3 linked regions of the Kluyveromyces lactis genome follow. The protein of the gene in region 1 interacts with the protein of each later gene in a pairwise test. Links are inferred from orthologs where the notes say so. Each region holds a gene or a part of one and is shown in the gene's direction. Other genes may lie near its edges.

Region 1 (11,660 bases):
TTTTCGTTATCCGTCTTTTCTTGTTCCAAAACTTTCACCTGTTCCTTCAACTCTTCGTACTTGTCTTGCCACGACTCGGCTTCTAATTTCAAGTTGCTTAGCTTCTATTCGAACAAAAAACGGGGGCGATAGCACCCCCGCTTCACTTTCCAAATCTGTCACGTTCATTATTACTGAAATCAAATGCGGATCGCCATCAATCGACATACCGTTTCATATTTCAGCATTAAAGATAATGATCGTCAGACGAGGAATTGCATCTTGTTAGTAATTGCTTAATTCACATTGATCACCGGACCGAGAGGTAGGGGATCAAGTAGTTATGAAAAATCGCCACACATACTTCTCTGATCTTTTCCATTGTAGATGATTCGTATTAGTTCTTGTTTCAGGGAGCGTTTTTTGTGAAATTAAAGGTCAAATAACTCAATTGTTCACTACAGTAATTGACGAGTTTCAAACAATCAATGGGCACTAGTCTCTGATCTGTAATCAACGAACACACCCCATGTAAATCCTTCCTGATGTAATGAGTAAAAATACACGAAGCCTTTTAAGTTTGTTATTGTTTTTATATTTTCGATTTTCAGGCTTTTTCATACGTTCTGGATTTCCAAAGGCGGGAAACCATGAAAATCTGTTGAATTGATAGGATCGTCAGTGAGAATATGTGGTTTCAAAGGGTAACAAAGTCAGAAATGGGCATTTACACTGGATGCGATGATTTATTATGCGTATGTATTATATATTTGAATACATACTAGATATCTGGTATCGTGTCATTTAACAAAAAGCCATTATTTCAAGATTCGACTATATACGGGCTTTGCACATAGATAAAAGGTCGGTTCAAGAAAAAGAAAATTAAAAGTTCGACTAGACCAGGTAGTTTCCTTCTCCCAGCAGTCTATGATTTTGTAGGTTATGGATGGATTCTCTAAACGCAGCCTTCATTCTGTCGTTACCTAGTAAAGTTTTTGCCATCCAAGTTCTTAAGTTTTCGGATACCGTTTCCGAGATATGATGAATCTTGTTACCGTCTCTCCCAAATTGGAATGCTAGGAACGCAGATGATAGGATAACCATGACGGGAATCCAGAAGAAAATCAACATCTTATCGTTTCTGAAGTTTTGGCGTTGTTGGAAGAATCTGTTCAATCTTACTTGTAGGGCTTCTTCTTCATCCTCGGACGTTTCTGAAGTTTGAGAATCGTGTGAATCCGGAGCAGTATCGACACTGGCCTCTCTGACGATAGAGAGGCTCAATTCGGTGACCTTGTTCTTGCTTGTGTTCAATCCAGATACTGGGAATAAATCTTCATATTTAGGTAGTCCTTCTGGAGTACGAGCCGACCTGTCGCCTTCTTGCTCTTCACCGTTATCCTGGCTTAATTCTTCCGATGGCTTGACTGTCGTACCAGTGCCGTCTGCTCTGTAGGGATGCACATATGTCGAGAGTTGCAACTGGGATTCCCGCTGAGCAATGGTTAGTGAAGTATCGTCCTGTACTTCATCGTCCAATTCACTCATTTCGTCATAACCACTGAATTCGTACTCTGAATCGTCCGATAATGTATCCTGCACCATCTTGGAAACATGAACTTGGAAGCCGTAATCAACAGAGTCCAAAGATTCTGCATCGAATACGCTGGAATGGAAACTGGAGGTGCTTGATTTTCTTCCAAACATTTTCAACTCGTCTTCTAATTCGTTTTTTTCAATGCCACCATCATGCGTGGCCAATAAGCGCAGAGCATCTTCGATGTAGGAGTTGTTTTTCTCTGCAGCCGAAACATGCTGCGACTTGTATAGATCGAGAGCATCGACACCGTTGTCTGCCCTTGCTGTAACGTTGGCCTTACATTCTACTAAGAGTTGGATAGCCTTGACATCACCGTTGATGCAAGCAAAGTGCAATGGTGTGAAACCGAATGAATCAGTAACGTCAACTCTAGCACCTTTTTTGACCAAGGCAGAAACCAGATGGAAGTAACCCTTCAAACATGCCAAATGTAACATAGTTTGTCCATCTGAGTTACACATGGATAGGTTCGAGCCAGGGTTTAGCAATTTCACGACTTTCAATATTAACATTTCGTCTGAGTAGTATACCTGGTTGCTGGAGTTAGTGGCATATGAGTCAGCGTTATAGTTCGTCGAGGGCGAGATGTTTGAACTTGGTGTCGAACCATTCGAGGAGCCACCATCACTTCCAACAATTCTCTTGGCAATGTTTCTTGCATCTTCCAATTTACCATTCATTTTGAGTCCCACGATTTGCAAAGCTAGTTCAATCAATTGACGATCGGTATCGTCCACGTATGTAAAAATAGCCCTACTGTTTGACATGTTACCCAACAGTTGTTCATTACCATGATCTTCTCTTTCGAAAACAGAAACTAGTACTTGACCCGGTTTCGAAGTTGGTGGTAAATATGTAACGATGGTACTTTCACTCCAACACTGAGTAGATAAAGCTCTATTGTCGCCGAATTTAACAATCATATTAGGTTTGAAATTGGAACCCAATAGTGTCACTTCGATGCCACCTTTGATAGGACCTTGAGCAGGAATAACACGTTGAATAAATGGTTTTGGGCCGGATTCGGGAACAGTATTCGTTGTAGACGAACCCATCTGCTGCACTAGCACGTTAGGCCTTGGAAAAGCTGCCTGTTGTTGTTGTACTGGTGCTGCGATACCTGCAGCAGCAGGTTTCACAGACCCCATTTGAGATAACAAGTTTGGTTGTTTATTTTGTAACAAAGAATGAGGTGGACCAGATATCGAAGAAGAAACATCCAAAGCTGTAGTTACTGAGGTTGAAGAATTAGACAACGAGCGTTCTGACTTATTGGTACCGTCTATAGAGCTTCTTGGACGTTTATAACCATTCGTTCTTGCCGAGGCAGCTGCAGAAGAGTGGAAAAAGCCAGGAGTAGTCGGGTTTACTGGACCATGGTCGGTATGGACATTTTCTGAAGAATCCTCCGTAATGGAAGTTGGAGAGGGCATACCTTTTGGTATAGAAAGCCGTACTGGCGCTGAAGAGTCCTCAGCTTTCATACTCACGTAGGATTCGGAGTTACTATAATCGCTGGCTTGTCCTGTCATAGAATCTTCATCCTTGACATAACCATCGCTGGTACGGTTGTCACTAGATTTACCCTTGCTTGTCGTCTTTTTATCCATAATAACAATACTGTTTGTCACTGTTCTTGCCAAGATATTATCATCTGCATCTCGTAGAACCATCAACACCTTGAAACCTTCTGGCTCCTTATGATGTCTGCAGTAACATACGATACGGGTCATCAAAGAGAAATTTTTAGAGTTTTCATTGCATTCATGTTCTTTCATTAAGAGGACTTGTTTGCTATTAAAAACAATAGCTCTCTTGTTATCGTTGTTACACCAAAGCAGATTATCACTTACACCAGATTTCCGTCTCGCAGCTCTACGTTGTTCTCTTTTCACACACCTGGCACAAACGTATGTGGTCTTATTTGTTGACGAGCAAAGCAAAAAAGTCTCCAAAAACAACATCTGCCTCCTCACCTCGATGGGGTACTCTGTTATATCGTGAGTCAAATAAAGCTTCTGTTTCGTTATACTATCTGTCGGTAAATGGATCATATACTGTGGAGGTGGAGGGGAAATCGAGACGTTGACTTTAATTTGAGTTTCCACTCTAGATACAGAGGGGATTCCATCTACATTCAATTTGTATGGCAATGAGATATCATCATCATCCTTGGGGAGAAAATCAGTTGGGTTCAAATATACCGTCTTGAAAGGACGTGTTCTACCAAATTCCATCCCATGGGTAAGTAACCGTTCACTTTGTTGGTAATATGTAAGATTCTGCATTGGCACTCCGGTGTTATTACTGCTATGTTTCTCATCTCCCAGTTTCCATTGTTCGACATTTTCCCTAGTCAAATCGTCGTGGACATCTGTAACACCGCCAGAAGCATTCATCTGATCGTCAACATCCTCATGCTCATTCACATCCATAATTTCATCAGTATCTAACTTCAATAAATCAACATTCGTACGTAGCTGGTTTTCCATCTTCACAGGGGACACAAAATCCAATTTGAGTAAACCAGGAGAAGAATCGTCCTCTATCGATTCCATCAACATATCCTTATTAATATACTGGTCAAATAGGTCTGCAGCATCAATAGCATCAGAACTACTACTTACGTTGCGACTGCCCTCTCGAGGGCCGCTATCGCCGGCGCTATCCCTAGCTTCCTCATCGTTTCCTAAAAACAAAAAATCGTTCAAAAGATCGCCTTTAGACGTGTCTTTTTTCTCTGTAAGCATCCTTGACTTCAGCAAAGCACGACTATTCCTATCTAATAGTAATTGCCCTGGTTATATTATCGCTACACTGAATCAATACACTGTTGATATGGCTAAACAAATACATTCTCAATAACAAGCCGTGTTATCATTTGTTAAATCCTTGTAAAACTGTTTTCAAAATTCAAAAGTTCCAATATTGTCCGTCTAAGCTGATGCAAAACCGACAAAAATCCAACAAAACCTCTTCAAACTGGGCTGGAAATGTGTTTTTGGGGGATAATTGTGCGGTTCATTCTTTACAGAAGGACTACCCTTGATGGTAAGCCATCATTTTTCTGGCGGAAAATCCGCCAGAAAAATGTGTTTACCATCAACAATTCCCATCACGTGATTGTTTGTGTATTGAGTGTAAAGAACATACGTTTGGACATGACACGGACAATTTCCTCACCAGAGAAGAACTTTTCGTGTCTTAATGCATCAAAATTGAATAGATCTCACTTCATTGTAGACTGGTTTCCGTTCACCTTGACTCTTTTTCTCTGTTTGAGGTTACTTAGTATGGAAAAAATCCATTGCAATTCTCATCACTGGTGAAACTTGATAGCTTCCCTCCCCCCTTTAAGTACTATATATAACAGTTGTTCCCCGGGTCGTGACCTGTTCTAGTACAATTCCCTTATCACACTCTCACCAAACTTTAGTAAAACCAAGAACATCACAAATAATACACTATACCATGGACAAGTGCGATTATTCTGATGTTAAGAGAATACCAATCGAATCTGGATTGGAAAATGAACTATGTGCCATCCTATACACAGACCAATACAAGGAACTCGTATCATTATTCGTTGCATTATTACAACAAAATGAATTATCTGAAAGAGCAATGGCAGTAACTGCCGCGGTGATTGAGACTGTACCAGCGTTATACACCGCATGGAACTACAGATTCGAGATTTGCATGTCCTTGTTCCGGAAAGAAGATGTATCCGCATGGGAGAAAGAATTGGATTGGCTCGATGAGTTCACCTTAAATAACCCGAAAAACTACCAGATTTGGTCGTACAGACAAGCGCTACTCTCAGAACATCCATCCCCCAAATTAGTGCGAGACCTTCCTATACTAGACGTGATGATCGATGACGATACAAAAAATTACCATGTATGGTCGTACCGCAAATGGTCCGTCCAATTCTTCAAAGATTGGTCCCATGAACTCGACTTTGTGAACAAGTACATCGATAGAGACGTGTATAACAACAGCGCCTGGACCCATAGAGCTTTTTATTTGAAGAACGTCGATCATGTTCAAGAGGAAGGAGTAGCAGAGGTGGAAATTCAATACTGTATGGATAAGATATTGTTGGCTCCACAAAACGTAAGCCCCTGGAACCATCTACGTTTTATTTATAAGTCATTCAAGAATAACGAATACGATTCCAAGTTGATTAATTTTGCTTCGTCCTTCATAGATAACGCCTTGGAGACATATACCGACCAAGAAGAAAGACCAATCTCCCATGTTAAGTCTTCTTTCGCATTGGAGCTCCTAGCTGATGTATATTCTCAAACAGACTCGGAAAAGTCCAAGATCGCATATCAGGCATTAGCAGACACTTGGGATCCTATAAGGAAAAACTACTGGAATTTAAAAATCAGACAATTAACTATATAGGATTGTATTATTAACATACAAGGATGCCTTGTCGCGCAAAGGGCTCCCACATCCAAGCTCACTTGGCTATCCTACCCGTCGGTACTACAGAAGTATCATATCATCTCTACCTTCACTGACACAAATCACGTTTCTTTCCCTCAACTAGACTGGAAAAAAATTGTTCCAAGGCCAAAAAGATTAAAGAAGAAGAAGCGATGAGATGAGACGAGGTAAAGTTTAATGAGTGGACGGGAATCGCCTCAGAGAGAGATATTAGTACCGGCAAGTATTCATAAATAATCAGCTACAATCATCTGCAATGGCGAATACTGAATCTGATATTACAAGAGTACTAGGTGGGATCTATGTTGGTGGTATTCAACCAATTGCGAACCATGTTCCACTGAAAGTGAATTATCAGATCACTCACATCCTATCAGTGATCAAATTTGAGATCATTCCAGAATACTTGGTCAGGAAGAGTTATACTTTGAAGAATATTCCTATTGACGATAATTTGAGTACAGATGTGTTGCAGTATTTCAATGAAACGAATAGATACATCGATTCATGCCTGTTTCCCGATGAGATAGAGCTTGACCGAGTGAAGGTTGATTTCAAAAAGAAGCCCCAAAAGGGTGCCATATATATACACTGCCAAGCAGGTGTATCCAGATCTGTTACGTTTGCAGTAGCGTATTTAATGTACAGATACGGGTTCAATTTGAAGACAGCTTTACATGCAGTGAAGAGGAAACGGAGCGTAGCTGAACCAAATGAGAACTTTATGGAGCAACTGAAGCTGTATGAAGCCATGGGTTCGAATATAGTGGATGTCGAGAATAAAGACTATAAACAATGGAAATTACAGAATTCCATTAAAACTGATCCCTTGGGAGCCAATATCATGGCTCAAAATGAAATGTATAAGTCTGAAGAAGTTGAAGCTGAAAAGGTAGCTAAGTTATCGAAAGAGGAAGTAGAAGATGTTTCTGCGATCCGTTGCAAAAAATGTAGGTTTAGACTTGCATTTTCCACTTCTTTCATTAAGCATGATCCTCCAAGTAAGGAATCAATGGAAGGTCATTTCATTAGGAGGGCCGCAGGATCTAGAAGAATTATTGATATTCAACAATCACAAGACCGTTGTTCGCACTATTTCGTGGAGCCTTTGGAATGGATGAAGAAAGAATTACAAAAGCAAGAGCTTGAAGGTAAATTTTTCTGTCCGAACTGTGATAGCAAGATCGGAGGTTACAATTGGAAAGGTTCTAGATGCAGTTGTGGTAAATGGATGATTCCGGCAATCCATATCCAAACAGCTAAAGTCGAACAAATAGCATTAACTAGGAAAGACCTACCTAATTTAGTATCGTTTGAAGAATAATGGTCTCTCAGTACTCGCATAAATATCATTCATAAAGGTTAGCATTTTTTATTTTATTTGTTTAATACATGTCATTCTTCTTTAATAGGCATTTAGGTGAGGCTAGATACTCGTGAACCTTGAGCACCGGAGTCTAGAGTATCAGATATGGTCAACGATGGCTGTTCATGGACCGAATCCTCATTTTCATTTACAAATGGCAGTGCATCCACATTTGAATGCCTGGATCTTGACCGGTTGGTATAACTTGTATCAATTAATTGTGAATCCTCAACAAACGTACCTCTCGTTCTGTCGAGCATAGATCCTTGTTCGTGAACTTCCGCATACTCGTTATCGTAATCATAACTTTGATCGTACTCTTCTTCAGATTGTTCACCAACTTGTGCTGTCAGCAGTACCGATTGTTCTGTATGTTGATGATTATGATTTGACACAATAAATGAAGAGGAAGTTTGGTAGGCATTAAGTATTGGTTCTTGCCCTGAATTGTGTTCATTTTGTTGCTTGTTCTGTTTACTTCCCTTCTCCTTTTCGATCTCTTTTAGGGTTTTATCAATGCCAATAGGTCGCAAACTTGAGTAGCCAAGAGATCTTATCAGCAATAGTGTCGATTTATCTAGAATGTTAATGGTATTGGAATCAGACACATCTCCGTCATTATTGGCAATTAAAGGTTTCTCACTATGGCAAGTATACGCCGCAAGAGGAATCAATCTCTTCCCAGGCTTGATCCGTCTCTTGGTATCTTTATCAATGTTCCAACTCACCGGTTTCCCTTTTCTGCTTGTCTTGCTTTGCAGAAGCTCTTTTCGTAGATTGTTTATCAAAGGAATGTTATTGAAATCGGATGGTGCAGAAGGTTGTCTGAAGGCATCAAGGCCATACATAAACTCTCCAAGCCCCATATCTTACTTGTAAAGCCTACTGTCTCCAAAAATATTTTGTGAACAGCCTCTTAATGTCTGTTATTGCCATTGACACAGTGGTGTTTAACAGGACACAAGTAAATCATGATTTAAAGGTTTTATTTTAAAAGAAATAGAAAAAGCATCAACAAAAATAAGGAGAGCTGTACTACTCACCAATTACCAGTAGTTAAACGCCGGCGTCTTGATGGCATTCACTCCAGTTATCTTATATTTGATATGAATTGATAGAAGACACTAAAAAGAACTGAATATTATATATTAGTATGTATGTTTGAATAAACGTTATTGGTGTAACTACAGGTTACGCTTTCTTTCCATATGATCCAAGAACTTGTCAAAAGGAGTCTGTTTCCTAAAATAAGCACTTCTTTCAGCCATGTTAGCCAACTTATCGAATAAGTATTCTCCCCAGTCAAGATACCGTTTAATATAATTCTTCAAGTCAGACATTTCATAAGCGACAACATAATTGTTACTTCTACGCAATCCAGCCAATACCATAGACAACAACGCTAAGTCAATACTGTAATGAACTATATCTTTAACCTGATTGGAATTTGATAAATGCAGTTAAGATTACCTTTTAGTTAGTAAATCAAAGTCCGTTGATGAAAACGGTGGTGTATCTAACCACCTTCTTCAAAAAAATGAACGGTACGTACACCCATGATTCTTATTACAAATCTCAAATATGTCAGTTCTTTATAAAGCCAGAGTAAGACCAGAAAGGCTCTATTTCTCTACCTGCAAGTGACTAACACTATTGATTTCTTTGACAGATGTCATTACAATTTCGAGGAACATTTAAATTTAAATAAAACTGTTAACACCATCAAGAAATATTACCAATTTGGAGACAAAAAGAGAAGCTCAACGGGACACCAGCGGTTTAGCAACAGTTCTGTGATTATCTAAAAGTTAGCTGAGAAAGGAAATATGACTGTTAGCATTTCCAAGAGCAATCTTCTACGATTTGAGCCTGTGAAGTCCTTCAGAGTTTCTGATAAAGAATTGGGACCTATAACTTCAGTGACATTTGATGACCATGGCCAGTACTTGTTGACTGCAACTGCTAGTGATAATATGCATCTATATGATGCAGTAAGTTGCAGGTTTTTGAATACCATCGCTTCTAAAAAATACGGATGTCATTCCGCAAAGTTTACACATGCGCAATCAGAATGTATCTATTCATCCACTATGAAATCGTTTGACATAAGGCATTTGAATCTTGAAACAAACACATACCTTAGATATTTCCAGGGCCATGGTGCTCTAGTGAGCGATATACAAATGTCCCCGTTGGATGATACTTTTTTGTCTGCATCGTATGACGAATCGGTAAGACTTTGGGATTTGAGAAGCTCCAAGGCACAGGCCCTTATACCAAGTTTAGTCCCCACATGCATTGCTTACGATCCAAGCGGGCTTGTGTTCGCCATTGGTAACCCTGAGAACCATGAAGTCGGTTTATATAACGTAAAACATTTGAAGGCGGGCCCATTTTTAGTTATAAATGTGGATCCAAGCTTTGATCAGTGGAATAAATTGGAGTTTTCAAACGATGGTAAATATTTGTTGCTTGCGTCGTCCGCTGGAAAACATTTGATCATGGATTCCTTCGATGGTACACAGTTATTTGAATTATCAGGAACTAAACCTTTCCCATTGAGAGAGTTCATGGATTCTGGATCCGCAACGTTCACTCCAGATGGACGCATTACATTGGGAACTGATTACACTGGGAAGATCGCGATATGGAACCACGCAGACTTCATCAGTGGTAGGACGCTCAAACCTCAAGGATTTATTAACGCCGCACCAAATACATGTCCCAGAACTATTGCATTCAATCCTAAATATAGCATGTTTGTCACTGCAGATGAAACTGTAGATTTCTACGTATATAACGAATGAATTATACTGGGATCTGGATATATGACTTCGAAGCCAGACTCTACCCAGAGCACCCATCTATTTAGGAATGGCACTCGACATCTCGATAACATTTCCATGTTACCGATGACACAAAGCTGCCTTTTAGGTCTGGTCATCGCGACATTTAATCTTCTTTCATCTTTCAAGAACCCAACCTCGAAATTCTCGTTACTTCTTACTAAAGATAGGATGATGCACTCCTTTTCTCTACCTTGAAATCCGTCTACGGTAGATATCTCAATTGCTTGATGCTTTTCATGGATGAGTTTTTTCAACAGCGATACTTGTGAATTATACGGGGAGATCACACCAATACTTTCTTCCGTAACACCAGCCTTTATCAACTGCTCAACGTGGTATAATGCCAAATATGCTTCATTTTCGTTGTATTTTGAAGAGACTAGGTGGAACTTATCGTCTGCATCGTTGTCATTTTCATCAGACCTTTCTGGAAAGTCGTCTCCCTCAGTATCTAACCAAATACATGGGAAAGTAGTGTTGTCGTTCGATTCAACACCTGGTAAATCTGCTAGCAGTTGTTTCGCAACGGAGTCATCTGCTTTCAATTTCCCGTCATATAATTCGTTAGAAGAAAACTGCATAATTTCTTCGTTCATTCTGTACTGTACATTTAGCAAGTACTTAAATTCGTTGCCGTAATGTTGCAATAATCTGTCAAACACGGTAGTACTCAACAAGCGCTTTACTTTATCATTATCTTCAGTTTTGATCGTTGGAGGTAACTGCTTGTCGTCTCCAGCTATTATGAGTCTTTGCATATCTGATTTTAAATGTGAGATTAAAGGGATCCAACACTGAGGTTCTAAACTTTGTGAAACTTCATCAATGATCAAAGTATTGAACAATTTGGATTGTAGATCATACGCACTCAACAATTCTCGAGAACTTGAACCGTGTAAAGTGCAAACGACAATTTTGCTCTTTAAAATTATATTAATTAGCCCACTTTTCTCTCTCTGCCTCAATTCTTTTCTCAATGCCTTGACCTCCTGCCACCCTTTCTTGCGATCTCTTGAAGATTTGAGCTTTTTAACGCTAGCAATGGTATCATCAATCTCTTTCATAATGTCTTTTAAAATCATGCCCGAGTCTCCCTTTTTAGACAATACGTCAAGGGAATGTGACAAAACTTGTGGTAGTAGCCGAGATGGATGACCAATTCTTAATAATTCATCACCTGGAACAACTTTACTAAGTCGTTCCAAGATTGTATCAACGGAAATATTTGATGGTCCACAAACCAAAATCCTTTCCCCTCTATCGTATAACTGTTTTATCAACTCTACAAGGGTATATGTCTTTCCCGTCCCTGGCGGGCCATGGATAATAGATATTTCATTTGACAACGAATGTTGGATGGCATCACGTTGAGATTCATTGAGTTGTTCGTTGTAGAACTTCACGT
Region 2 (11,765 bases), on another chromosome or scaffold:
GATTCAAAGCTGTAAATATAACAAACTGCAAACAGAAAGGGACACACTCAGCGAAAAATGCAGGCAAATGAACGAAAACACAGGCCAAAGTGCACAACAGAAGCTACAGGTATGCCGTGTATGTGGAGCCTACCTTTCAAGATTAGACACGGATAGAAGACTCGCTGACCATTTCATGGGCAAACTCCATCTAGGATACGTAACTATGCGTAAAGAACTTGACATGGTAAAAAAGAGATTGCACGAACAAGGGACAGATCTTCACACATATCTCCCGCAAACAAGGAGACATCAAAAAGCAGTATATAGAGGTAAATCTTATCGATCGTGAATGTATAAATTTACACATACACTGAAGCTGTTCATAATGGCAAACATTACCCGGATTTGAGTATTCTAATTGAAATAAAACAATTTCAACTAATAAACATCAAGAATAAGATTAGATGAGAATAGCTGTTATCATCGTAGCATGTTCATATGCACCGGTAACACTGTGGTTTGGTGTGTTCTTCAATTTCAAGTAGGATAAATTGATCATTTTTGACTGTTGAAACATTGTTGAGAAAGCGAACTGACAATCCTAAATCATGAGTTCAGTATTTGGCCAACAAGCGCAACAAGAGAACAGGTTTGCAAACTTGCAAATAAATTATCCTCAGCAGCAGCAGCAAAACCAACAACAGCAGAATAGTTCACAATCACTAGTACAGAGCTCTGCCACGAATGGAAAGGAAGAAAACTGGTATAATATAGCTAGAAAGAGAAACATTCCACAATCCGTGATAAAAAGATCGTCTAAACCGAGCTCATCTGGAGATGGATCTTCGAATGACAACTCTTCCCAAAGATCCGGATTCAATAGCGTCCAGTTTGGCACAAAGAAGCCAACATTCAGCTCTACGCAGCCTGCACAACCTACTGATATCGCGACTTATGTGGAATCGAATGAAGCTCCCCCAACAAAATCGTTATATGATTGGCAACGAGAGGATGAGTTCGGGTCTGTCCCCACTAACGTGAACGCAATGCCTTCGTCTAACCAAATACCTTTGACTCAAGAATACACTAAGAGCACAAGAAACGCATTCGACAGAGATGCGTCGAAATCCCCTGTAAAACCGACAGCGGATCAAACAAATGATATATCAAGACAAAAATCGCAAGAGAGCGCAGTAATTGTATTTGGATATCCAGAATCCATTTCAAACCAAATAATATTACATTTCTCAAAATTCGGAAATATTTTAGAGGACCTTGAGGTTCTAAGAGGTGTTACAGGTAACAACATATCCAGTGCTACTATTAGAATTCGTGCTCAAAATAAGGACTCTAAAATTCCTCATAAGAAATATCCTATCTTCACGGGCGATGGATGGATTAAAATCACGTATGACTCCCCTAGTGCCGCTCTGAGAGCTCTACAAGAGAATGGTACCGTTTATGGAGGTTGTTTAATTGGCTGCGTTCCTTATAGCAAAACAGCCGTAGAACAATTGGCTTCGTGCAAAATCGATAAAACTGATGACATCGGAGAAATCCCGTTCAGTTTATCGATGAAACCAAACGGACCTGAATCATCTGATATACAAAATGGGACACAAGAAAGTGCTGATAATAATAAACATGGGTTCACCTTTTCTACTCGGAAATTGGATGTCAAAGATGGAAAGCAGTTGTTTGTGCATAATGCAAACCCTCCTCATGGTGGTCCAAACTTTTTAAGAAATTTGGAGAACAAGTTACGAGAACAGGAACAGCATGGGAATAACCAACAACCAACAAATTTAATTGGAAGGGTCAACAATTGGTTATTCGGGTGGAACGACCTATAGTCTCATTGTCTTTAGTAATTAGAGATGTATTATGTTTATATAATTTACGGATACCTCAAGAAATTCCAGTGCACCAAACTTCAATGAATGTGAGTATTTGAGTGAATAACTACCGAAATGGTGAAGACGATGAATTCCGAAAGGGAGACTTTGATATACGGTTATCATCATCATCACCATCATCGTAATGTAACGTACCAGAATTGATGTCGGGAGATCGATTGAAATAGCCTTGTCTGCCTCTTCTGAAACGATCATCCATTCTGAATCTGTCATCAGACACATCGGGTATGCTATCATTTGTTTCATCCGGATAGTTTAGTAACCTATTTGCAAAGTGTTGTTTAATAGGACTATGAGAGTTTCTTCTCTCACTTATATTATGATTTCTAGATGCATTGGCCAACATGGAATGATCGAAATGAGGTTGTTGAGATGGTATTAGAAGTGGCGTGGAGGGAGCGGAAGGTGTATTACCACTTTGAAGATGAGAATAGCGAGAAGGGCTCAAACGCGGACTATGCTGTCTGCTAGGATACGATTCTCGTACATAAGCACCATTTATTGACTTAGGGTGATGGTACGAGAACCTTACGTAGTTTTCCGTACGCTGTGAATTGGCATCCTCGAATGAATCTGTGCGAGGATTATACTTTTCTTTACTAAGTTTCCCACTCAAAGTGTGGGTTGCAAAGACGTGCGACCTTGTAGTGGTGTAAGCCGGATAGAAGTAAACTATTCCATCGTTATAAGGTGTTGCGTCAACCATCGCATCTTGCTTCAAGACATTCATTTTAGGTTGAATAACTTTTGAATTTAATTCAGCCACACTGGACATGCTCAAAATCTGCTCATCCTTCAATTTCTGCTCGTATCGATCAATAACAATAAACCATAAAACATATTGGTGAATAATGATTGGAATAAGAGTTTTGAAAGTAACATCTGTCATCCACAAGAAACAGAATGCAATTGGAGAAAATGAGACAAAAAAAGATGTAAGAAACCTGCTTGGTGTCCATTTTCGTAATTCATAATAATGGGCTCTATTTGTCTCATCATCGTGAGACCCATTGAACAAGAGATACTTAATCATCCCCCATAAAGAGTCTCTTTTGGCGTCTTCGACGTAGGTATGGTTCAAATCATGAAGTGATTTTTTGGTTACATTCTTCGACTTCGGAACAGTTTTCCAATAAAAAATCGAGTAGGTCTGGAAATGCGCGAAAAGATATCTATAAGTTACCGAAATATTAGTGATTAATAACAACACCGTCAGCAGATAAAACAGGCGGTGCAATTGTCTTAACATTTTGTAGTATAAATTTTCGCTTGAAGAAGCGGAACCTCCATACTGCTGAAAATAATCATATTTCTGAAGATTCTTAGATTTTGAAAAGTCAAATGCATCATCAGAATGAGTTAGCTTATTGATGTTTGGGGCTATCACATTGTCCTGCAATAATCGTACGGAGAAGAAAAGGAAGGTTAGAACATTTCCTAAAGGCCATGCTACCGAGTTTGACTTACTATCCCAGTCAATCACAGCTATATCTTCGTTGATAGATAAGTACCAGTCGTAAGGTAATGAAAACATTCCCATGAACGAAGCAAACCATCCTAATTTTTCATCCTCATTATAATTATTATTATCTTCCCTTATATCTTCACTATTTTGGAACCTGTCAGGACTGGGGCTTCTTTCTTGTGAAATGGCTGGTGATTCATGTCTATTTCGCCAAAATGCCATTATTTATTTGCTTTGTTTCCGCGCTTTTGCATTAGTATCAACGGTAAACGGCTTGACAAAGATCGTTATGACCTTAATTGTTACAAATTTCATTATTTATCTTATAAATCGTTTTTGTTTACCTTTTGAGCAAACATAAATACAAATCACGTGATGCAATGTGATGGATATGCTTGTGGGTGGAAACCTCCACAACGTACTTGTTGAAATTATAGATCCGATTCGAATATAGCTCGGTGAGAAGTTCCGAGATTACAGATCACAACATCTGCATTGTAGAATATTTCTAACACGTACGATGCTGGCTTAAGTTCAATATTCGGTATCGGGAATGGTTTAACACTAAGATCATACCTTGTTTCTATTTGTTCAAAGAGGATTTCCTCTGTTTCTTTCTCGTACAAACGTAACGTGAGTCTTCCATTTGTTTTCGAAGCTGACGTGAACAGCAGAACAAATAACCGCGTGAAATTTGAAACTGATATTGTGATTCTCGTTTTGCACCGCAAAACCTCATTATATCTTAATCCCCCAAATCCTAACGAATATGGAGATAGTTCAAATTTTGACTGCTTTGTTTCAGGGTTTCGCAGCGTAAATATGAACGGAGAGGTAATATGATGAGCGATGGAGCATACTATAAAGTATTCTCTCCCTTTTAATAACCTTACTCCATGCTTGGAAAAAATTTGTGGGGAGTATGTGTCATTCTTAAAGATCGGACGTTGTAGGGCATAATCATCGGACTCAAATATTTGAAAATTCACCTTCGCTGGTAACTGCGAGACTAGCTCAAAATCTAGATAAGTATCATCGAAACCATCACTTTTTAGTTTGAAAACAGGACTTTTGAAATATTCAGAAGTACCAATAGTCCACTGATTATTTGTGATATTCCAGCTAGACTCAGCAGTTAATATATCTGATTTACATTTTGACATTGAAACCAAACCAGAATTAGATAGTAAATGGAAAGTCAAATTGCACTTTTTGTCTGAATGATAAAAGATTAGACGTGTTTCATGGGGGTTTAGCCGCAGTTGCATATTACAGAATCCACTATTATTCCCCTCCGCTGAGACAGCTGTAAACCCAGACCTTGGAATTTCACCAATTGTCAGGTTGGATTCGAGAATAGAATCATCTAGTAGGTGTCTTTCTAGATAAAGATGACAATTTTGAATGCTGTTTGATTTGTTCTCAATGCACATCAAAGGTTTTTGAGTCCAGGTAGGATATGCATTAAATTTATCTGGATATCGATCATGTAGTTTTACACGTTGAGTGTACTTTGAATATGGATCCCAATTTACATATAACCATTTGAATTCTTTTATTAGGTCGTCCCAAGTATACACAGTGGGGTTTTCAGTACCGTGAGGATTTAGGATGGTAAATTGTTCCTTCTTCCAATTGACAGAAGTCACAACAAAATCATGATTTTCTGTTACCTCTTTTCCCTTCACTGAATCTGTTCCTAAAGCAAGCATGGCATTGAATTGGTAACATTTACGTATTTCACTAAATGATACGTCTCCTAGGTTGAGAATCTCTGGTATCCATCCTGTGAGCAAATAAGTATCAGTAGCTGTATTGGATCCCCCATACGCGTAGTTCCGATTATTCTTGATTTCGAAATATGCAAGCTCAATCAACATATCTTCTATATTATGGGAGAAGAGAGTCAAGGCAGCCCCGTCTTTAGAGCATTTTGGAAAATTTGAATCTCGTAATACTGACACTAGTCGATTTGACCCATTGAAATGAAGAATCACGTTGAAAACGTTATGGACGCTATAACTCTTTATCTGATTTTCCTCTCTAGCATTGGTCAAACTACATATTAAAGAACAGTTGTTGACCCGCCTATTCTGTACAATACGTTCCTCCGTAGTAAAATCTGGCTGCATTTTGACCAAGTCAATTGGTTCATTCCCGTACTTTATAATACTGTCTAATTGTTGCAAATCATTCCAGGGTTCTTTGACCACTAGATCATCGCCCAATGGCGGATAACGCCTACCATACAAAAAAGACGTCATCCATTGGAACTTGTCATTGAAATTAGATCTTTTACGAGCATCATTAAACCAAATCAAAAACCGTATTAGCTGTTTGTCATCACTTTTCTCTATTTTGTCCACTATCGCTTTAAATGTGTTAATATCCCAAACGTTCTTCACGTAGAAGTTCCAGCATATCTCATACAGCTGGTTCCACACAGAGTCTGCTTGCTTTTCCAGCATAGCTTGCGCTCCTCTGGGCATCAGTCAATTAGTCATTTAGCCTTATTCTCAGTTTTTGAGGTTATCGATGCATTAAACTCATTTCTCAGTTATAAATATCTACCGTAAATGTTATTTGAATAAAGATTGAGGTTTCGTAATAGTAAATTGCCAGTTTCAGAAGCATCAAAGAGGGCGAGAACAGGAAAGCAAAGATCTGGACAAAGGCCAATGGCTATAAATAGTGCTACCAGGGCTATCAAAAAGATGAGTTATCTTCGAACCAATGTGCTTGGAAGGAAACGAGAAACAATAGAGCAAGAAGTGGTAGATGAGGAAGAAGTGATGGAAATTAGAACTTCAAATACAGGGCTGATTACTGAAACCTTGGTGGAAAGGGAAGAGTTAATAAATGAATGTCTGGAGCTTTATGAAAAGGCTCCAGAGAAATTCAACCATTTGCAGAAGGATTCTCATAAGATGTTCCTTGAATATTGGTTAAATAATCCATTACCTTCGGGATTCAAATCACTCGATGCCTCTCAGCCATGGCTGTTGTACTGGATTGGCAATGCCTTCAAAACAATGAATCCCACTTGGCTTACGAACGATTATCAGAAGCGTATTTTGGACAAGCTATGGTATATATCACCTACAGGTGGTCCCTTCAGCGGCGGAAAGCATCAACTACCACATCTAGCGGCCACATACGCTGCTATAAATTCCATCGCTCTATGTCACAATCTCGATGATAACAGAGAAATCAATAAAAAGGCTATATACGACTGGCTCATTTCTCTTAAAACACCTAGCGGCGCGTTCATGACTGCACGCCCAGTCGGCGAACAAGATGTGAGAGGCGTATACACTGCATTATCTATAGCGTCACTACTAGGCATTGTGGACTCTAAACTAACAAGTAATGTGACGGAATTCTTGACAAGATGCCAATCTTACGAGGGTGGTTTCGGAGGCTGCCCAAATGATGAAGCACATGGTGGCTACACTTTTTGTGCAGTAGCCAGCTTGGCAATGTTGAATGCCTTAGATAAGGTCAATATCGATGCGTTATTGTCATGGTGTAGTTCTCGTCAAACTAAAGAGGAGAAAGGTTTAAACGGAAGAAGCAATAAACTTACAGATGGTTGCTACAGTTTTTGGGTTGGCGGAACTGCTGCAATCTTAGAAGCATACGGGTATGGAGTATGCATAGATAAAGACGCCCTAAAACAATATATATTGAAATGCTGTCAATCGGAAGAAAGCCCTGGCCTAAGAGATAAACCGGGAACACAAGCGGACTTTTATCATACCAATTATGTGTTGGCTGGTTTATCAATTTGCGAACATTCTTTTATGGTCCGAAACAATTCACCCTTCGATTTTGTTGCAACTCCACTTGTGCCAGAACCGGAAGTTGAGCCTATTCATCCCATATTCGGACTGGCTATCCTTGACGTTAACAATTTCATTAATAGACGCGGAGAACCATCCATGTCTAATCTGTCAATGAAAGTGTAATGAATTCACGATTAACTCTGATGGCATGTGTAATACTATAAAACTATATACTCATTATGATACCTAAATTAACATGACTCCATAGGTGAAGAAAATAACTTTCGGAATATAATAAAATTGAGAGTAGCAATCATCGGGAATTATACTCTAACTATTAAATGCCTTAGTTGTACTATTTAGCCGTGGCGCTTTTCTTTGTGAATTTCCACTCACGATGATCTATCATTGTCTGTCCATTAAATTTGACATTTAAAAAACAATATCAGACATCCTTTAAAAGTTGTCAATGGTATCCATAGGGTAAATCTTCAGTAGAAGAAGAGAAAGCTTCACCTATATTAGAGGCTGTACTCTTCTATAGAAACGAATCTGCAACTGTTGAACATGGTATTCAACATTTTCAGTAGGCCGTCTCAGCAGAACCAACCTGCAGTGAGTTTTACCCCTCTCCCAGGATCATTCCCTGAAGACAATGATAATACAGAACAACCTGAACAGGAAACAATACTGAATGCTGGCGTTCCTAGAATATTAAAAATGTGCTTATACATTCCACTAACATTACTATATTACTTGCTCAATATCCTGTTAACTTCGGTGGAAGTTTTCAAACCAATAGGCAAGATCTTTCATTTCTACACAAGAAAAGACAATCATTTCAGCGATGATTTGGGTAACCAATTCGTAAATGTTATAGATGTCCTTTCTTCATCAGCCGATACCAACGAACAGAGTGGTTATACATTCGATACGTTGTACAATGTAGAGAATGGAATGTTGAGCAAAAATATGATTAAGGGTGGTTACACTGATATCTTACGTCGGTGTTCCAGCGATGGTAAATTTGCAATAATATCTTTCTTCAATCCGATACTATACGATCCATTCGAGTACGTAAGAAAGATTTTAACTTCCAACGAGTTTGTAGAATGTGTCACCAAATATAATTGCGTTGTATGGTTTTGCGATGTTACAACACCACAAGGGCTACAGACTGCTAATTCTTTAAAGATTAGACAGTTTCCATTTTTAGGTGCCCTTGGACCCCAACGGAATAATAAAATGAAATTGCTTGCCAGAGTGGAGGGCCAACTATTTGATTATGATTTCTCTCATTTTGAGGCCAAATTAGCCTCATATTATTCAGTATTAGTTGAGATTAGAAGGCAAAGACAGTACCAGGAAATGCAACGGTTATTAAGAGAACAACAAGATTCGAGATACCAAGAATCGCTAGAAAGGGACCAGGAAAGGGATAGGGTAATCGAGGAAAGCCAACTTAAAAAGAAATGGTTGGCTTGGAGAAAATCTGTACTAGTGCCAGAACCATCGGGTGACGGTTGCAGAGTAAGCATCAGACTAGAAAATGAAAGAATTATTAGAAGATTTGATGCTTCATTAACAATTGAGGAGATTTACGCATACGTTGCATTATACAGAGCAGGTTTATTATCTGACACTAGCAGCGAGAATGATATTACACAAGAAAAACCAAATTACGAGTATCAGTATGACTTTCAACTATATTCACCTGTGCCCAGAACCCGTTTGGAGCCAACCACAGTGATCAAGGAAGAACGGACAATTTATCCATCGGGAACAATTGTCGTGGAGTTCGAATGAAAACCAAATTACTGGTTTGCAGTTTGACATCTATATATGTATATATAACATGTACTTTATAATGCTACACGATTGCGGATTTATGATTCATGGGTGATAATAGGTTGGGAATATTTCATCAGTTTTTCTTACCACCCTTCTTCTTCTTCTTCTTTTTAATTAATCCAGACATACTTGTTTTTACAACATTAACATAATCCTTCCAAAATTTATCAAGAGTCTTTGAATCTACCAAAGTGAAGAATTTCGTTCGTTTCCCATCATATGGCATGCTCACTAGCACGATAAGTCTGTATGGTTTTGTATCTGGTTGAGCGTTTTGTTTTAAACGTTTGGATTCTGACATCTTTGAGATATCACCAGTAGGATTGGAAGTAACATCCAATTCATTAGGTTTTTGAACGTGATGACTGCCCAAGTCTCTTTTCAAGCTTACTTTGAGCTGATTGTGCGATACCTTGGACATTCTGAAAGCTTTTTCAAGCTTAACAAAAAATTCGTCATGAGACAAAGGTTTCTTTATGAAATCTGGCGTTTCCTTAAGCCCACTAGCGGTTCCATCTTTGTCTGACATAATGGGAAGTTACCTGTATATTCTGGTGACTTGGATAAGTGATGATATTGAACCTTTTTCTTTGGACATCTTTACCATATTCTGCCTGTCGAAGGTTGAATCTAAGGCCTTTCCCTCATTTGACTGGAGCTAAGTACGATTTTTTCAACTGGCAATTACACTACCCGGCCATCGTCCCTTCACTATGTGTTTCCTCTTTATTTCTACGACGTTTCTGATATCCACTCTGTTTCTATACCGGTAAACAAGTGCAAAAAGAATGAAATGTGGCAAACCACGTGACGTTCTTCATTACCCGGATAACATTTAACATCTGCGCCAGATTTGCCAAATCAATTGTGCCTATTCACCTGAACCCGAAAAGAAATTCGTTAGTTTTTTTAGAAAAAGAAATTTCCGATCCTCGATCTTGTTTTTCCCAACAAAAAAAAAAAAGAAAAACAACAGGTCCCCATACTATATGAGATGAGACGAGATGAGATGAGATGCGATGAGTTACAGAGAAACAGAAAGGGGGTAGTCATTGTCACTTTGCACTAAAGAGAAGCGTGTGTAAGCTTCTCTGTCATCAAGGAGATTACGGACTGTTTTTTGAGGTATCCTATTGGATATGTAAGTTGATCGCGTGATTTGCTACAGAGTTTTGTTGGCAATGTTACACCTTCAATCGATCAACTGTACATTCTCTCACCCTTGATGAGAGATCCGGGAGTATCCAGTGTTATTGTAGAAGCTCAATTGTCAATCGATGGCAAGATATCAGACATTGGTGTCTGTTTTGTTTTTTTTTTTTTTCTCTCCCTACTAGCCTTTGACGCATTTTCCTTTTGGTTGGATTTGGTTTCATAAAGAATCAGTGTCCCTCGCTGATTTCACCACAGTACAATTCGTAAAAAAAAAGAATTGAAACATTAAACCGTTAAGCGTAGCCAATACAATCGTTTATAGGTGCTTTTTTGTCCAATTGGATATTCGTTCTTAGTATTTATTTGTAGTATATAGTGAATAAGCAAGATTGTGTTACGATTGGTATCAGCAACGGAGTGATAAATCCATCCTCATGCCCTGTTAAGTCCAGGCCCTTGGATATCAACGGCATCAGTAACTTCCAATGTGGACCCTTTCTTGACGCGCGCTGGCAGGGAGATCAATGTAGTGCACTCCGTTACTTTTCGAAATATATATTTCTTACTTTTTTTTCTCGTTAACGCTGCTGCGGCGTATTGTCTAAATACATTAATTCAAATCTTTACCGTAATTTCATTTCCAATATATAAAACCAAAGGCAGTTTAAATTTTAAATATTAAGATTGTCCCAATTTTGGTCTTTTTGAGTTTTTGAGTTATAGAATATTTACATATATATAGTGATAGATTTGAGCAATCTAGTTCTATTTAAAAGGGACATATCATCAGGCTAATCTCTTGATATCTGTTTCGGCTGTGAAAAGGGGTTCTGCTGCATAAATTCAGAGCTTAATCTAGACTGTATCACCCGGTGTACCTTTTGGTATTGAATTTATATTCCTGATTTTAACTGGGCCCGCTTTTAGATTACTTGTGGACATTTTCCAATCAAAACAATGTCTCAGTCTCAGTACGTAACCGATGCTGAAACTACTACCGAGTCTTGCAAAGTCGCTATAGACACACATGGTAATGTGTTCAAAGTGCCGGATTATACCATCAAGGACATTTTAAGTGCCATTCCTCCAGAATGCTATAATAGAAAGTTAGCTGTCTCGTTATACTATGTGTTCCGTGATATCGCTATCATGGCCGGTATCGGTTACTTTGCCAATGTCTTTGCTTATCCATACGTCAAAGATCTACACGTTGCTGCAAGGTTTGTGTATTGGGCATTTTATGGCTACGTTCAAGGTCTTTTCGGTACTGGTCTATGGGTGTTAGCACACGAATGTGGTCATCAAGCCTTTTCTGATTATGGTGCTGTCAACGATTTTGTGGGTTGGGTTTTGCACTCTTACTTGTTAGTGCCATACTTTTCATGGAAATATACCCACTCTAAGCATCATAAGGCTACCGGCCATATTACTAGAGATATGGTTTTCGTACCAAAGACAAAAGAAGATTTCGTCAAGTCTCGTGGTATTCTTGCTGACATCGATGAATTCTCTGAAGACTCTCCAATTAGAACTTTGATAGAATTACTTACTCAACAATTGGGTGGTTGGATCTACTATTTGCTAACCAATGTCACTGGTCAGCCTTATCCA
Region 3 (9,797 bases), about 810 kb from region 1:
AACACTTTTTACTTCCATCAAGTGTTCATTACTTGTAACATTCCTATAGTAATGTAAGTGACTAATATATGATCATTTCAGTTTCTCCAAAGTTGACATGACATGAGTAGGTAGCTCAGGATTAAGGTTTTCCAACGTCCTGATACTAGCAAATTTTCGACAGTAAAATCAAATTTTCATTTTTCTATGCCGTAATGGCTTACCGGTCAACAAAACGCTATCCACTGTTCTGGTGGCTCCCCAATTCGAATCTCGTCAGTACCATACCAGTTCACCTCCAAAAGCATTCACCAATTTGCTTTTCTTATCACTATATACGAACCCAATACATCGCTCTCTTGTAAATAACAAGAAAAAAGCCAGGAAAAAAAAAACAAAACGCATCTTTCAGGTCGAACCTACACCGCGTTCTGAGTACTGTTAGAAATAAACGCTCTAGAAATTTTTCCTGCGTTTTCCTGTCCTGTTTTCCATTCGATTTCACAGAAACTCACAGTCGTGAAAATATGAAATGCTGGCGAAAACCCAGATTTTTTCACAGATTTGGAAATTGATATTTGGAAGGAAAAAAGATTCGAAGGTTTTCATTTCAATTAACATTTTGAGACACCCATTGGTAGAATTCGTGTTTATGATCTCAATTTGATATAAACCCTCTGTGTACTATTACTTGGAAGGCGATTTCAGAGTCATTAATAGCTTAAGTTTATACCCGAGGTGCCAGAAAGGATAGAGTTCTATTCTACATTGCAATTGTAACCTTTTTTATTGTTTTATTCTTTTAATCTAAGTGTGTTAAAGAAGAGATCTACATTCACTCACTCACGTATACCAGTTTATTCACTCGAGGAAGATATTGATTTATATCAGAATAGAGTTTTTTTGTTTTACGTTAAATTTGCCAACATAGAATAGCAATGTCTGCTGAAGAATCACAACAAGCACAAACTGAGACTGCAGCACCAGTTCCGGTTCCAGCTCCAGCTGTCGAACAGGATCATTCCAATGAAGCTACTACAACCGTCGAAGAGAAATCACCTGGAGCTGCTACCACTGCTCCTGCTACTGAGGAGGCACCGGCATCTGAAAAGCCTGCTTCTCAGGATAACAACGGTGACGGGGAAAAACAACAAGAAGAAGGAGATGAGGAAGATGACTCTGCCGCGCCTGTTTTGGCTACTCAAGGTGGTAGAGAAAAGTCAGATAAAATCTTATACGTTGGTAACCTACCAAAGAGCATTGATGATGATCTATTGAAACAATATTTCCAAATTGGTGGGTCCATTTCCAGCGTTAAAATTATTCCAGATAAGAACAGTCAAGAGTGTAACTATGCGTTTGTTGAATATTTCGAACCACACGATGCTAACGTCGCATACCAAACTCTAAATGGTAAGGAAGTAGAAGGGAAGGTCCTTAAGATCAATTGGGCGTTCCAATCTCAACAGGTTAACAGCGATGAAACTTTCAATTTGTTCGTCGGTGATTTAAACGTCGATGTCGATGACGCCACTTTGGCCGGCACTTTTAAAGAGTTCCCATCCTTCATTCAAGCTCACGTGATGTGGGATATGCAATCTGGTAGATCTAGAGGGTACGGTTTTGTATCATTTGGTGAACAAGATCAAGCGCAAGTGGCTATGGAAACTAAACAAGGGTTCGAATTGAACGGCAGAGCCTTAAGAATCAACTGGGCTTCCAAACGTGAACCCCAACAAAGTCAACAAGGTCAAAGAAGATTCAATGGTCCTGCCAGTGGCCGTGGTGGATTCCGTAATAACAACAATCAGAACCAAAATCACCACAATCACAACGGTATCAACAGACATGCTGGTCCACCACCACATCACCAAATGCAATCTCACCTACCCCCACAATTGCAACAGCAACCCCCAATTGGAATTCCTCCAATTCATCAAGCTCCTTTGGTTCCTCCTCCAGTGGATCCAGAAGCCGTTGAAGATATGATGAGAAGAGCTCCTCCAAGAGTTACCACTGCGTACATCGGTAACATCCCACATTTCGCTCAAGAACACGACTTGATTCCATTACTACAAAACTTTGGTTTCATCATCGACTTCAAGCATTACCCAGAAAAGGGTTGTTGTTTCATCAAATATGATACTCATGAACAAGCTGCGTTGTGTATTGTGGCTCTAACAAATTTCCCATTCCAAGGAAGAAACTTGAGAACCGGTTGGGGTAAGGAAAAACCAACTTTCATTCGTCCACAACAACAAATGGGTCCAATTCCTGGTCAACTTCCACTAGAAGAACAACAGCAACAGTTTGAAAATGCCCCTCAGCAGCATGATCAACAGCAACCTCAGCAACAAGAGCAATGAGTTCATTAAAACAAAAAAAATATTAATTGTTCCAACACTAGACATTTTTCTTCCATCCGAAATTGTCTGATTCTACATGTGATGATGACCCATTATTAACTTCCTATATATAATGATATAAACCGTTATTATTTTTTTTGTCCCCTAGATTTCTAGATCTGTCCATCATGTCCATGCATTATTATTAGATATATAGAAATTATCGTTGCCTTATGATTCTTTAGTGTGTACAAAGAGGAACGGACCTTAACGCTTACTGTCAAGTAAATTAATCCAAGTAGTACATCCTCATCTTTCTTATATAGTTTTGTTGTTAACTCTCGTAATCTTCTTTACCAGTGAACCCAAACCCATAGGCCTATACATTACATACGTCTGTGGTTCTTAAACCAAAAAAATGAAAAAAAAAAAGTTCAAAAATGTAACGAATGAAAGCTATATAACTCTGAAATTATTATAGGTTTTGCCATTGATAGGAACATACATGCCTGGAAAAGTATCAATTTTGCTGTGATAATCTGATACTGTTATTGTCAATCTGATATTCAAAGTTATCATAATCTTTTTACTGGAAATATTTTCCAATAACTGAATAGCAATAGATATTTTAAAGATCATCAAAGAGTAGGATTGTTATACGGATTAAGCTTTTTACAAATACAAAAGTGTGAAGAGAACTAGGTTTATGAAAAACCATAATCAGTTATAAAGATCCTATCAATTAATCGCTAGTCGTTTCGTTCAATTATACATTATTGTTTGTATGCTAACCACGATTTTAGAGAAGTTAGGCTTTGAAGAAAAGAGAGTTTTAAAAGCGGTACTAATTGGATTAATTGCTTCGCTATACTTCCTGTACAAGAACGAATTTGATATCACAAGAGTGGCTGTTTCTGTTGTAAGTACCACGAAAGAAATTACACAAGCAGTAAGGGATAAAATAATGCTTGGTCGATGGGCTCCAAGAAATGCGGAGCAAGAGGAGACTATTGTCAGAAGAGGTGGTTATGTTGGAGGTTTAGTGAATGACGGTAACACATGCTTTATGAATTCAGTGCTCCAATGTTTGGCCTCGTCCAAAGAGTTGCATAAATTCATGGACACTATTATCCTAGATTCTAATGATGACAGTCAAAATACAATTGATGAGAATGGAGAAGAATCAGATTTGCCTAATGAGCAATCTACTGTTGAGAAGAAGCCTAAAGCAACAAAGAATAAGACATATGGAAAGAGGAAAAAGATCGCTGTACGTCAAGCAGACAACGAGCTCTTAAAAAACTCAACAGAACCTAATATGCATTTCACATTGGCTCTTCAGGATCTATTCTCAAAGTTGAATGCGAAACATTACCGTAACAGACCATGGTTTAAGACCAACAAACTTTTGAAAACTATGTCAAAAGCTCCAAATAGGAACATCATCCTAGGTTATGATCAAGAAGATGCTCAAGAGTTTTTCCAAACTATCCTTTCAGAGCTGGAGAAGAATGTTGAAAGCATATATGGAAAACCAGAAAAGGATCCAAAGCCAGTACCACAAGATGATTTGCCTGAAGATGCAATTGTTGGACAAGAACACCTCGGCGAGATTGGTGATGTCTATATCCCAACGGAACAGATCGACCCAAACTCCGTGCTTGCATCTGGTAGGAAATTCTATTCTCCATATAAAATTGTTACTCCCTTAGATGGTATCACTGCCGAAAGAATTGGATGTTTGCAATGTGGTGAGAATGGTGGGATAAGATATTCAGTCTTCTCAGGTCTATCTTTGAATTTACCCAGTGATAACATCGGTTCCCCAATCAAACTGTCACAACTTCTTGACGAGTGGTCGAAACCTGAGATCATCGAAGGAGTTGACTGTAATCGTTGTGCATTGAACGCTGTTTTGGAACATTTAGTAGAACAACTGAACACCATCCAATCACAGCCAGATGTCAATCAAAAACTAGTAACCTTGATGGAGGATAGGATCAATGAAGTTAAATCAGTGTTGTCAAAGCTTGCCATCGATGATGATGACTATAAGAGGATGCATACTGAGAACATGGTTCGCAAATCCTCAAAGTCAAAACAAATTTTGATTTCTAGACCTCCACCATTGTTATCTGTTCACATCAACCGGTCCGTTTTTGACCCTCGCACTTATATGATCAGGAAAAATAACTCAAGAGTTATATTCAAAAGCAAATTGAATCTATCACCTTGGTGTTGCAATTATGATAAGATTAATCTTGATGCACGTCTTCCGATGTCCAAGAAGCAAGAGAACTGGCACGAATCATCCGAAGATGACAATAATGGAACTGAATACTACAATAAGTTGCATCGCAGATTTGAAAAAGAATTTGAAGACAGCGATGAAGAGGAGGATGGAAGTGATAATGGTCAAGGAATGTTCAATGGATCTTCAAGAATGGTGGAAGAGCATGATGTTTTGAATGGTGAATTAAGTTCGGCATCGTTGTCATCATCCGAAGACGATATTGCTGAAGTCGAAGAGGTGGAGTTAGATGCCCTTGGAAATACAATCGTAAAAAAGACTGCCAAAAAACCATTATTAGGTGGCAATCAAGATGTGTCTATCTCCAGAGGAAACCTCGATATAGTAGATGCCGAAGGCAACTCTGAGCAAGAAGATGATCCTGAAGATGATGATGAGGATGAAGCTTATGAAGAAGACGAAGCTGAAGAAGACGAGGAAAACTCCGAAGAAGAATCAGATGACTCCTTGCCAACACCTCCGCTTCCTCCTACACAACCAATTGTGTCCAGCGTTCCTGCCGGGCCTTTGACATATGTTTTAAGATCTGTTATTGTACATTATGGTACTCATAACTATGGTCATTACATTGCATTTAGAAGGTTCCGTGGTTGCTGGTGGAGAATTAGTGACGAAAGTGTTTACATTGTCGACGAACAAGAAGTGCTTTCTACCCCCGGTGTTTTCATGTTGTTCTACGAGTACGATTATGATACAGAAACAGGGAAGATGAAAGACGATACTGAATACGAGAATGAATTCAACGTAGAGATTGAAGGTGAACCTGCTGTTGATCAAGTAACTCATTGAATTTTATTTTGCAATTTCACGCATCTAGTTACATAGATACATAAATATCACAAATCCCCTAATATAATAGCATGTTACAATCAGAGTTTTGGAGGAGTTTGAAACGCTGTACGTAAACCTCTTTACTTGTGAGAACAAAAAGGCTCACACAAGATTTTCCTGTGTCTCATTTTCTTTACCCAAATACTGGGCATACCTTGCAGCTTCCTCTTGTTGTTGCTCTCTTAAATCCTCCGCGATCAACTCATCAACATCATAATCAAATTCAGCTTCGTCCTCATTGTATTTACCAATGACACGCTTCTTCAACCCTGTTTTCCCATCGATTTCGAACTTCCGAGTCCCAAATCCCTCACCTTCTTGTGATGAACTAACTTTAAACTTCACAGGTGCATCCTCTTTCTTCAATTTTGCATATTTTGCAAGGGATCCAGCCTTTTCCGAATCTTTGGCATCACCACTGCGTCTGGTAGTCTTCTTGTCCACTGAATATGAACCAATTCCTCCAATTAGCGGTAGTAATACAACGAAAGCTACCACTAAAAGAAACACAATTAAATATACAAATGGGTTCATTGCGAAAGGCAGTACTGACGTCTAGTTGGCACTTTTCGTCAAGAAGTTGATATTATATCTTAAGAAACAGTTGTTTCCCTTTGTATGCATAGCCATTAGCCATATAGTGTGAGTGTCGGCTCATCGATCTTTTTTTTTCAATATAGATTGTGGAAATTAGATATAAACTTAAAAGACTTGAAGGACCTTTTCAGTTGAAGTAGGTTGAGAAATCACAGTTTAGGTACGTTATTCTCTATCACGTTGAGTTCAGCATACAACATATTGAGGTGCGAAAACTGAATCAGTCCTAGTTGCTATTAGCTTGAATTAGTAAATTTACCTTGAGGCTTGCGGGAACAGACAACGTTCAAAGGAATTATTCGGAGTATTGAATTGATACAGTAGGAAAGAAATTAGAAGATAAGGAATAAATGCTAGTGAAAAATAGCTCCAGGGTCATTAGAAGCGTCATTTCCAGACGTAGTATTGTTACCAAAGCGATACCTAGCATAGGTCTCGCAAGAACTGCACCAACTAGGGCTCCTGTGTTGTCAAAACTCGGGATTTTGAATCAACATAATCTACCCTTTGTTACAGTACAGCGGATGCATAACAGTATAGCAGCATCAACAGATGGGAAAACTATCCCAGAAGAGATTCTGGATATGCCTATCGAAGTGTATCACGAAATTTCTGATGAGTTTATGGATAGCTTACTGGATCAGCTCGAAATTCTCTGTGATTATCATCCAGAAGTCGTGCAGGATGTTGAGATGTCACAAGGTGTGATGAGTATAGAAGTTCCTTCCGTTGGTACATATGTAATCAACAAGCAGCCCCCAAATAAACAAATATGGTTGGCTTCTCCGGTGTCTGGGCCCAACCGATTCGATTACTATCAAAAGGAGTGGGTTTCGTTGAGAGACGGTACGAAGTTACTGGATATCCTAAACAAAGAGCTCAGTGACCGACTAGAAGGCGACGAAATTGACCTACATTACTGAACGATGTAAATATGATCTTGCTGCTCACAAACTGCCTTACAACTATGGCATGTCCGCAGTTCACCGTTAAGGACCCAATTTCGCAGAAACAATTCAGAGATCACAATCAACCAATTTTACTCTTATTTATGTATATACTTTTGTTTGTTTCATTTATTTATACCTATAACGTCCAAAATATACCTTACTGACGCGATTGCACTTACACAGTCCCTGACTTCTTTTGTTCTTTATAGTCTATACTTTGTTGCTATATAAATGAAATCTGTTTGACTCAGTAACTTTCTCTTCTATAAATGAAATCTGTTTGACTCAGTAACTTTCTCTTCTATAAACCACATTTGATAGTCTCGGTAAAGAAGGGGTCATTCTGAGCCAGAAGCAAACAACCCCAATCATAACAATCATGACATTCAAATCGTTCATTATCACATTCAAAGACAGCGTTCCAGAAGCCGACGCTTCAAAGATCAAAAACTCCATTTCTTCTCTGGGTGGTACTATTGTCCATGACTATTCCTTAATTAAGGGATTTGCTGTCAAGTTGCCAGAGTCTCTAAAGATTGATAAATTGAAGGATTTGCACGGTGATGCTTTCGAAACTATCGAGGAAGATAAAGAGGTCAAAGCTTTATAAGCAGGGGATCATATTGAGAACGTCCGAGTCATACATGATGGTTGTTCCTTTTTTGTCCCTTTACTCAAGATCTTTGATCACTCGAAATATCGGGCAGGGCCCTTTATTCGCAAGAACAACTTTTAGATTATTACAACAAGAATAGAAAACCGGTACTGTCGAATGTCAATTAGATAACGTCTATATATTTGCATTCATATCTGTAATCTTATAACCACTTCTGGTATTCATATCAACGTCCTCTTCTACGGGATATCTCTTTTCATCTAACTGTGCTTATGTTCACCTTTTCTATTATAATGGAAAATGATATCTAAGAACATATTAAGTGCGAATCTCCAGTTAGAAAGATCGATTAAGACGGAGGATAAGACAACCAAATAGGGAATTAGAGGTGAACGGATGCTATATTTCGGATGCAAGGAGTGATGGATGATAAAAATGTGGCAAAACACATAAAATTTTGTCAAAGACATTTGCAATTGTTGCCGTCTCATCGCCTGGATATAGATCCCAATAGGTTAGCCATTGCGTTCTATTCGTTGACAGCGATTGAGCTATTGGGCAAGCCAGTGCGCAAGGACTTCCAATACAGTTTGGATTGGATTAGATCGTGCTATATTGAACTTGCTGATTACTCTGGCTTTGCCATCCCGTCTTTTAGACACGCTAAGCAATTGACTACTATAAATTTACCAAATACATTATTTGGACTAATATGTCTTATGTTGTTGGGGGATCACGAATTCTTTGATGAGAAGTTGAACCGTGATACGTTGGGCAAATTCATCTCATCTTGTCAGTTACCTGATGGGTCATTTACCTCTTTTCTGGATAATGCTGGATATCCATCGAAGTTCGATTCCCATGATCTGAGGTTCTGTTATATTGCAGTATCGATCCTATATCTTATCGGATGTCGATCAGAATCGGATTTCTCTCGGTATATTAACGTTTCTAAGCTGCTACAATATATCATGTCACGTCAGTGCACAATGGGGGGATTTGGTGACTGGAACGAGCCACACGGTGGATACACATCATGCGCGTTATCTGCTCTATCTCTACTAAATCAACTACAAAACATTCCTGCCTCGTTTAGGCAGGATACTCTTCATTGGTTGGTGAACAGACAGGTTTCTGCTATTGGTGTCTTTGTTGAACAGGATTTAAACGACGATTACGATCCGGATGACTCAGGTGGGTTTAACGGGAGAGAAAATAAACTTGCGGATACGTGCTACGCGTTTTGGTGTTTAAATTCTTTAAGAATCTTAGAGCCCCAACGTTGGAGTCAGCTTATTGATGTTCCACTGATACGAGATTATTTACTGAATCAAACTCAGAATAAGATGGTGGGTGGATTTGCCAAGAATGATCAAGATGACCCTGATATATATCATAGCATGATGGGAATATCCGCTCTAAAATTGATAGATGATGAGATAAATGGGGTGCTCTGTATCCCGAAACTAATAATGGATAACTTCAACCTGCGTTGAGTTATTGAATTTGTAACTTTTAGTATGTATCTGTACATATTTATTAGCATTAACCCATTGGAGAAGAAAGAATACAGTGGCTAATTCAAGCTTCTATTTACAGGTTTCTTCTTATTTCTTTCCAACTAGGTGTTATTGTGCTCATTTGTTTATACGAACTTCTTGACGATCTCTTCATAAATACCCCAAGCGATTCCTGCACTAAATGCTTTTCTTGTAAGTCTAAGGCTGATACCGGCGAAAAGGTTCCTGACGCTCTCCTTCGTTGCAATATGCCAAAAAGTTGATGTAAAACTGTGAAATTTAGCTGGTTCCAATTGCATTCTTGTTTTCACAGTATCGAAGGGAGCTGTTATAGAAGTTGCTATCACTGCAGCAGAAAAAGCACTTGACCCATTTATTAACGTCGAGGCATAAGTCGAGTATCTATTATCTGAGTTGAGTTTTACAACATTGCTAGGCAACAGTGTAGGAACCAAAACCTTCATCCGATCGTAAAATAACATGTATAACCCTGCATATGGAGCATCTCTTAGGGCAGTAGCTCCAAAACCTCTAAAGAACCCACGTAACCCTTCGGTTCGGAAAATATGTGATGTGGCATATCTTAATGATGTATACTGATACAACGTCGACTCATACCGCACTTTAATAACGGTGATAGGCATTGTA

The links.
Region 2: the proteins of RAM2 (region 1) and RAM1 interact in binary tests that used the Saccharomyces cerevisiae proteins (3 or more experiments, as listed by UniProt). The link is inferred for Kluyveromyces lactis from reciprocal best matches to the Saccharomyces cerevisiae genes RAM2 and RAM1.
Region 3: the proteins of RAM2 (region 1) and CDC43 interact in binary tests that used the Saccharomyces cerevisiae proteins (3 or more experiments, as listed by UniProt). The link is inferred for Kluyveromyces lactis from reciprocal best matches to the Saccharomyces cerevisiae genes RAM2 and CDC43.

Annotation. Positions count from the first base shown.
Region 1 is NC_006041.1:1,599,139-1,610,798, forward strand, and holds RAM2 (bifunctional protein farnesyltransferase/protein geranylgeranyltransferase), read left to right. Parts: upstream 1-5,053; coding exon 5,054-5,995; downstream 5,996-11,660. Other genes in the region: KLLA0_E17931g (tropomyosin), read right to left, coding at 1-104, 344-361; KLLA0_E17953g (uncharacterized protein), read right to left, coding at 877-4,332; tyrosine protein phosphatase YVH1, read left to right, coding at 6,297-7,364; MND2 (Mnd2p), read right to left, coding at 7,457-8,272; MCO12 (Mco12p), read right to left, coding at 8,591-8,842, 8,959-8,964; WD-repeat containing protein SWD2, read left to right, coding at 9,233-10,213; ATP-dependent 5'-3' DNA helicase HCS1, read right to left, coding at 10,195-11,660.
Region 2 is NC_006042.1:678,352-690,116, reverse strand, and holds RAM1 (protein farnesyltransferase), read left to right. Parts: upstream 1-6,041; coding exon 6,042-7,331; downstream 7,332-11,765. Other genes in the region: LUC7 (Luc7p), read left to right, coding at 1-331; FG-nucleoporin ASM4, read left to right, coding at 591-1,835; NUR1 (Nur1p), read right to left, coding at 1,945-3,585; RIM13 (Rim13p), read right to left, coding at 3,795-5,852; clathrin-mediated endocytosis regulator UBX3, read left to right, coding at 7,716-8,954; RNA-binding signal recognition particle subunit SRP14, read right to left, coding at 9,073-9,528; KLLA0_F07095g (uncharacterized protein), read left to right, coding at 11,112-11,765. UniProt on the Saccharomyces cerevisiae protein: Catalyzes the transfer of a farnesyl moiety from farnesyl diphosphate to a cysteine at the fourth position from the C-terminus of several proteins having the C-terminal sequence Cys-aliphatic-aliphatic-X where X is Ser, Ala, Met, Cys, or Gln.
Region 3 is NC_006041.1:781,883-791,679, forward strand, and holds CDC43 (protein geranylgeranyltransferase type I subunit CDC43), read left to right. Parts: upstream 1-8,039; coding exon 8,040-9,125; downstream 9,126-9,797. Other genes in the region: PUB1 (Pub1p), read left to right, coding at 918-2,345; ubiquitin-specific protease UBP1, read left to right, coding at 3,109-5,424; EXP1 (Exp1p), read right to left, coding at 5,569-6,000; YFH1 (ferroxidase), read left to right, coding at 6,414-6,986; PBI2 (Pbi2p), read left to right, coding at 7,393-7,623; HEM25 (Hem25p), read right to left, coding at 9,275-9,797. UniProt on the Saccharomyces cerevisiae protein: Catalyzes the transfer of a geranyl-geranyl moiety from geranyl-geranyl diphosphate to proteins having the C-terminal sequence Cys-Ile-Ile-Leu or Cys-Val-Leu-Leu. Acts, among other substrates, on Rho1 and Rho2 and CDC42 proteins.